2 linked regions of the Xenopus tropicalis genome follow. The protein of the gene in region 2 purifies or fractionates together with the protein of the main gene of each other region. This does not show direct contact. Links are inferred from orthologs where the notes say so. Each region holds a gene or a part of one and is shown on either strand. Other genes may lie near its edges.

Evidence for each region.
Region 1: the proteins of ptpru (region 2) and golim4 purify together in Homo sapiens (affinity purification with mass spectrometry; 3 studies listed by BioGRID and IntAct, counting the BioPlex papers as one, with this or other methods). This does not show direct contact. The link is inferred for Xenopus tropicalis from reciprocal best matches to the Homo sapiens genes PTPRU and GOLIM4.

Annotation. Positions count from the first base shown.
Region 1 is NC_030681.2:112,719,507-112,723,337, reverse strand, and holds part of golim4 (Golgi integral membrane protein 4), read right to left. Parts: intron 1,926-3,831; coding exon 1,776-1,925; intron 1,233-1,775; coding exon 861-1,232; intron 166-860; coding exon 1-165. UniProt on the Homo sapiens protein: Plays a role in endosome to Golgi protein trafficking; mediates protein transport along the late endosome-bypass pathway from the early endosome to the Golgi.
Region 2 is NC_030678.2:83,217,285-83,221,115, forward strand, and holds part of ptpru (receptor-type tyrosine-protein phosphatase U), read right to left. Parts: coding exon 3,724-3,831; intron 3,493-3,723; coding exon 3,352-3,492; intron 1,854-3,351; coding exon 1,728-1,853; intron 862-1,727; coding exon 710-861; intron 1-709.

The sequences.
Region 1 (3,831 bases), on a different chromosome or scaffold from region 2:
CTGCTGGCGGAGAATATGCTCTTTGAGCCTCTGTTGGTGCAGTAGATCCTGTTGCTCTTTGAGGTGCCTAGCTTCCTCCATTTGCCGTGCTGCTAGTTGCTGCTGCTCCAGCTGCTCCTCATAGGCAGATTTGTACTTGCTGTGAGGCTTGAGTGTTGGGTCCCTCTATCACAACATATAGGAACAAGAAAGACAAGGTTACATACAACCTACATACCCGCAATGGCACAGGAACATTAAATACAGGCAGTGCATATCCATTCCATGTTCTAACTGTATAGTTGGAACAATACAGTTTTTGGAGAAAACCAAGCATGTTTGACAAGGTTCAGTTTCACATAATCCTTTCAGTTTCACTTTAATCCTATTCAGCTAAGCCAAAAACAGAAGATGCATTTATGTAGATTGGAAAAAAAAAAAACTAAAATTTATGCTTGAGCTTTTATTGGGCCTGCAAATATGGTGCTATATAAAGGAAAAAATATTGGCAGACACACAAGGCCATAGAATATATACATATTTATTTAGTATCCATACTTTTATAACACATTGCATGGCATGAATACTTTACAGTAGGGCACAGCTCTACTAAACATTATATACACAGTCATAATGAGAAGTACACTACATTCATACTGAACACTAGAATACTCAAGTTTATTCCTCCTTTAAGTTTCTCCTTTAATATGGAGCACAATTTAGTTGCCTTACATTGCTGTGTGCTACAGTGTCACAAACTATCTTTGAAACGTAGCTCTCATTGTTTTGGAAGGATTAAATCATACCAGCCATCACATGCTTTCAGACATGCGATAACATATTGTCTAAAGATTTTTATGAATTCACAGTAATTATCTCACCTCAGTATGTTTATTTCCTTGCATATTGTTGGTCTCCTCTTCCTTTTGCTCCTCGTTATTTCCTTCCAATGCATCGTCCTCTTCTGGTTTGTGTTGTTCCTGTTCCTCTTGCACTTGATCCTGTTCTTCAACCAAACGTTCTGGCTTTCCAACCTGTTCCATTTCTTCTTCCTCCAGTTCTTTTTTGTGTTCCTCTTCTACTTCAACAGGATGCTCAGTAGCAGCCTCTGCCTCTGGCAATGGCACAGTGTCTTCATCTGGCTTGTCAAGATTTGTTTTTACTCTGTTCAGATGTACAGCTTCATCATTGGCAGCAGTGCTTGACCTGATGATGATATCATGATCCACTACTTGGCGAGTCTGAACATTTGTCTGCAGACATAAAAGATACAGCACCCTCTTTAAATGACAGTTTTTCGATATGCAAACTCTCCAGAAGAGTAATTCAAAGCTATAGCAATCAAACATACAAGTTCCTTACAAATACTGACTGAAATAGGAGGTAAAGAGAGCCTGCTTATTAGAGCTTGCAATCACTCAGATTATCAAATGCTGACTTCAATGTTTTAATAAAGTAAATTTTGTTTCTATTTACCATCTGTGAGAAATTATAGGTGACAAAACACTGCATTTGGGTATAATGAAAAATTAAGTACCCCCTGTTCCAAAATATAAGGATATTAGAAATTACCTCAGAGTTACATGACCTGTATAAAAGCACTCAGCCTTCGGCTTCATGTTTTTATATGGTCATGGAACTCCTAGGTGACTGACAATTATTCTTATATTTTACAATTAGGGGTACTTTATTCACAATATAAATATCTAAATTATCTATATATATCAGACACACACATATATAATAATTTAGCCTTAAAACAGTCTTAACCAGATCAGACTCTGCTCAGAGCTTACCATAAGCTCTTGTTCTGTGGCGTGTTCCTGAGTGGGTGCAATGGTCGGTGAATTATTTCGTCCTATTGGTACAGTGTCCTTTTCTGGTTGGCGTAGGCTTGACATTTTATTGAGCGCTTTTTTTAACTGCACATACTCTTCTACCTGGCTCTGAGAAACATACAGAAACAGAAAGTATGCCCTTTATACATAACAGTAAATTTCATTTGGAACAGAATTCGATATCATAACTTTTAAACAACTGATTGCATAGCCAGGCAAACAAAGCAACAGACAGTGTACAGAAAAATAGAAAAAGTAGAAAAATGGATATTTCTGGAATTAAAAGCCCCAGGAAAAAGAAATGTTTAGGGAACAATAAGTACTGCAGACAGATTTTTTTAGCTTTCAGGCAAAGTACCAAAGGAACAACTGTCAAATGGATTTCTTAAGTTAGGATTTATGGGAAATAAATTAAAGTCATGTAATCCTACAGACGGGTGCGGGGAAGTTAAATCTTCTTCAAATCTTGGCAGATTGCAAATTGACATAAAGTCAAAAGGTGACAGAGTCTGATATTGTCTTTAGCATTCTGGTCAGGCCTCAGCAGTCAAAGCAAAAATAAAACCAAAAGGCATTTCTATTCCCACAAATGACTAAAGAAGCTAGGTAATGTAATGCAACTATGCACGTGCACATACACACCTTGGAGTTGCCCCTTTGTACTCATTAAGGGTGCCAAAAATCTAGTACAGGTAATATAAAATATGTTTTAAGTCTGCAACTGCTTGCGTACAGGATATCTGTGTGACTGGTTTGCTAAATTTGCCATTTATGGTTGTACCCCACATGGCAAGTACATTGTACATATAAAATGTGTATGTGATGATCTGTATTTTCTTATTGTATGTAATGCACTGAAAGAAGTCAATAGTAACATTCACCTGGCATTCATAAACCTAACATAAATAAATTATTTTGATATTTATTTCTTTATGCATATGGAAATTCCATGGCTAACAGAAGGGAGTATGCTCAGACATACTCATCTCAGACATGTCTGTGACGGTTCTTATTCATCTAGATCAGGGATCCCAAACCTTTCTTACTCGTGACCCACATTCGAATATAAAAAGAGTTGGAGAGCAACACAAGCATTCAAAAGGTTCCTGGGGTGCAAAATATGGTCTGTGATTGGTCATAGGTAGCCCCTATGTGAACTCATACCATACAGAAGGCTATGTTTGGTACTACTCGTGGTTTTGATAAAAAGGAATTTAAAAATAAGCACCTTCTTTGCTACTTTGAGGCCACAGGGAGCAACATCCAAGGTAAGCTTGTGAGCCACTGGTTGGGGATCACTGATCTAAATCAGTATATCTATAGTAATAAGTCTGTAGGTTTGTAGAAACAAAGTAGAAAGCAGCAATACTTCAGTCTGCAATGTAAATTTGGTGCTTATCATAATATGTTTTGGGAGCTTAGTCCCTTTTTTAAGTGATCATTTACTGCTGCTTTCTGCTTCATTTCTACATTGAGTTTTGCATTTGCTATTGCATTCTGGATGGTGTGTGTGCCGTATACCTACTAGTGACTAAGTCTCAGAGACAACACCGATACCTGTTTTTTTTTTTTCATACCATCTGTGGTCTTACCCCTAAGCCACAGGTTCTAAAAGATTTGTTAGCAAGAGTTTTTGGAAGACCGATGCATTCAAATGTCTAGTTTGACACTAACGTAGGGTAACTAAAAGTGGAATGAGGGAAATAACTGTTGATTATTATCAGTGGGATGTGCTAAAGTTATAGCTCAACAGGGAGAGTATCAAGAGCTCATTGCTTCCCACTGACAACAAGGTTATCTGTTAAGTCACTGAGATTTGCCACAAGGAAATTTTTAGAGATCATGCAGGGTGTGTGGTCACACTTAAATTAGAACCGGACAACAGCTTAAAGACTATATTCTAGAAAAAGCCAGAGGCAAAAATCTGCTTAAGCTCTCATGCTTATGAAAATTTGGGGTTTGGACTTTCCATGCTGTTTGGAATGTCCATTACATACTCATTTGTCAATGTTAT
Region 2 (3,831 bases):
AAAATGACCATTTCCCTGCAAACTGGAGGATGCATCACTCTAGGGCCAACACATACTTGAATAAATCACACAGCAAAGTCCATATTGTGTTGCCAAAAGCTCATGAACTGTACTTTTCTATAATTACCGCCTGCCCCAAGTAGGTGTAAATTTTCGCACAGACTAATGGTGTTTGTGAATCATGCGTTAGTATTATTTCTGCACGCTAATTAATATGTAAAATTAACGAATTTGGTTGTGCGCTATTTAACGCACGCGATATGAGACTTAACGGATGCGATAATACTTTAGCGAATCGCGCATTTTTTTTTTGCATCAATTTTAACACAAAAAGCATGTGATAACGCTTATCGCACTTTAGTGAGTCAACCCTATTGTGTCTACCCCTAGTACATGAAACTGTAAAGGTACTTTTACAGAGATTCCTAATGCTCACTCAGATTCTTCACAGTCATTTCTGACCCTAGCATAAGAGTCATACACCTAATCCAGTATGATCATCATATCTGGCATATATCAATCACAGTTTCTGCACTGTAGAAGCAACATGTCACTCCTAATTTATTCTTTCTTTACATTTATATAATAGACTCTATTTCTAGCATTTCTTTGAATCCTTCAACTTCCCTTCTGATTTAAATTAATACGTATTGCAATGAAATAATTGGTCATATCTCTTAATTCTACACATATTAGTGCCAATACTTACAAGCAATGTACTAGTGTCCTGTGCTCTCTGTTCTGTTCCTGCCACTGTTCCACTAGTGACAGAAGTTGTAGGAAGGATCTCTTGCTGTCTGGTGTTTCTCTGTACGGAGACCAACGAAGGTACTGGAAATGTTTCACCATAAGATGCTCATCCTGCAGCAACCAGCAGGAAACGTTAGAAACAAAACAAAGACAAATTAGGGGTGGAGGGAGAGGGCCAGGTTCAATGGTTTAGAGTAGTTTTAAAGTAGGTGCTTATTTTTAGAATTTCTGACTTAAAGGTAAGTTGTACTTCCAAACAGAGCCTCCTCCAACCATTTACAGCCCTAATTAGTCACCGCCTAGGATCTTTTTAAATCCTTGTGTTGCTCCCCATCTTTATTATATTTAAATATATCTCACAAGTAAAAAAGGTTGGGGACTAGTGATGTGTGGGCCACCAACATGCACAGCCAATATCCTGTTGCAGGCGGTTGCCAGCCTCCTTCCCCACCCATGACCTAACTGTGCCCCTCTTCCATCTCTGACAGCTGTATTTATAGACACGTGTCTGCCCCGCTCCCTCTGTGATGTCAGAGGCTGGATGGGCATATAAATAAAGGCAGCTCAGCGGGCATTCTCCTATATTAAAAGAGCCTAACCTCCTGTGAAGAACAGGAAGTTTGCTATCTGGGCGCAAGTAACTTGTCCTGTGGAATCTGCTACCCCTGCAAAAGTACCTGGGCCAATTTCTGACCACTACTGTGGTAAAGGTGGCTCACGCCTGTTTTGACCACTTACATGTCATTAGTCAGTTATTGTAAAACATAAATCTGCAAAGTCTATATCACACCAATACTCCGTGTTCATTGATACACTTCAGTAAACACTATCAGTAAAAGTTAACTAACTGAAATTATTGGATAGAGATTATTTGAAAACATCCTCTTATGGGTGTCATTAAATCTACAACTTCCAGATTGACTGGATCATGACTGGATCATCTACTTGTATTTTAGGCTATCAAGTCAAGCACTTACCCTTGCGATATTTTGCACACGGAATACACGAGTAACAACATCCTCTTCCACTGACCCTGATACAAACTGTACTTCCATGGGCCCATATCGGCATATCCCACTGTCTGGCCAGTACTGAAGACAGGGCTGTGTAATTAAAAAAGGTAGTAATAGTGTGACACAAAGCTGGAAGACATTGATAATGTTTGCCTACAGACACTGGTATTTATTAAATGAAAGGTGTAAAATGTAATGGAGGAGACATCAAATACAAGAGCAAAGAGAAAGATAAGCAGAAATCTCCAGTGTTAAAAGTAGCCATACACACCAGTCTGAACACATGTATAATATCCAATCTTATTTCTTTTTTGTTCATTTGGACTGAGCAGATCTTAACTGAAGTGAAAGGTAGCTGGAAATACTGACTGAAATCCAATGGAATTGCAAAATTCTGCCCAATCTGTCTGCCAAAGTGACCATATACACTCATATGGCTGGACAGTAAAGCTGGCCATACACTGAAAAATCAGCTCGTTTGGCGAGGTCACCAAATGAACGGATCTTTCCCCCATATGCCCACCTTGAGGTGGGTGATATCGGATTGATCTGATGGTTATGCCCTAGGGTTGATTTAAATGAAAGGATAGGAATCTTCACTTACAACTTGTGGGAACGTTACTATCTACAAAAATATTTCCAAATTGTGTGATTTAAAAAAGCTATAGAGTGTTTGCGAATTTTCTGTTATCTATTTAATGTGAATACATTCTTTGTGCCAGTATTTACATTGTGAAGCGCTTAAAGGAAAAGTAACACTGACATTTTTTAAATGAAAAAGCTATTCTACCCTGCACCAATAACTGCCCTATCCAGCAAACCCCTTAGTATTTTGAATGCTTTAAAAGAAAATACCTGTTAAAACTTGGCTTCCTGTGGCTTCCTGTCAATTGAACTAAGGAGATACGGCGAAGGAAGGAGCAGGCATCAACTATGCGAGGATCGATTGATCGAGTCTAGCCTGACTCCTTCCTATACAGAAGGAAGGCTAGACTCGATGAATCGATCGTCGCATAGTGATTGCTGCTCCTTCTTCGCCGTATCACCTTAGTTCAATTAACAGGAAGCCAAGTTTTCTTTTAAAGCATTCAAAATACTAAGGGGTTTGCAGGATAGGGCAGTTATTGGTGTAGGGTAGAATAGCTTATTCAACAAATTTTAGTGTTACTTTTCCTTTAAACTGTTTTTTTACAACCTGATAACCAAATAACATGTAAGTGAATGCCAATGCCCAACCCACACTTTGCAAATGGGTGCATTTATTTTGCCTCTATTATAGCTTTGCTTTGTATATAGGGGTGGGAACATTGAGGCTGAAATTCTAAGAAAACCACTGAATTGTAGCAAAAAGATTGTACTGTGCCCAGGATCATAGTTGGCAGTGATAAAGGATATATTGTTGCCTGAAGGCAAATAAGAGGGAGAAATGACAGAATGAATGCTAAGGAGATGCACACAGAAAAATTACCTTTTTCTGTTTTAGCCTCTGCATTTCCTTGATAACAAAATATATTTAATTGTTCTATGTCATGTCTTGAGAAAGGATTGTGTTAACAACTACATAGAGTGGAACCTGGGAAACCCTTACCCAAGCAGAATTGGATTGGTTAAGCTGATTTAACATTACAACAGTGCTGCAACCGTAATCATACACCAGTCTCCAGAAGTCGGTGATTGTGTTCTGCAGGGGGTGCACAGTTATGATCACATTTGAACTCCGTGTATAGCTCTGCAGAAACAATTTTCAAACCATATTAGCTGTGGCAGAAAAGCATGATACAAGTTAATACGTAGAGGAGTATGGATGAAAACCTGGGAACTTTTAGCAGTACAATAAAAGGGAAATCTACAAGGCTGAAAGAAATGTGGAAATAACTGTAAGACAAGATAGTACCAGGTGATGTGTTTTGTCATAACTTCACTACATTCAAAGAGAGAAACATTTACAATTTTAACATACATCTGTCAGGACAGCATTAATATAATTGCTGGTATCTTCTCCATGAGCAGACAGCAGTAAAGGAAGGGCACGGTCTGGGGGTAGCACATCCATACTGCGGTTCTTGTC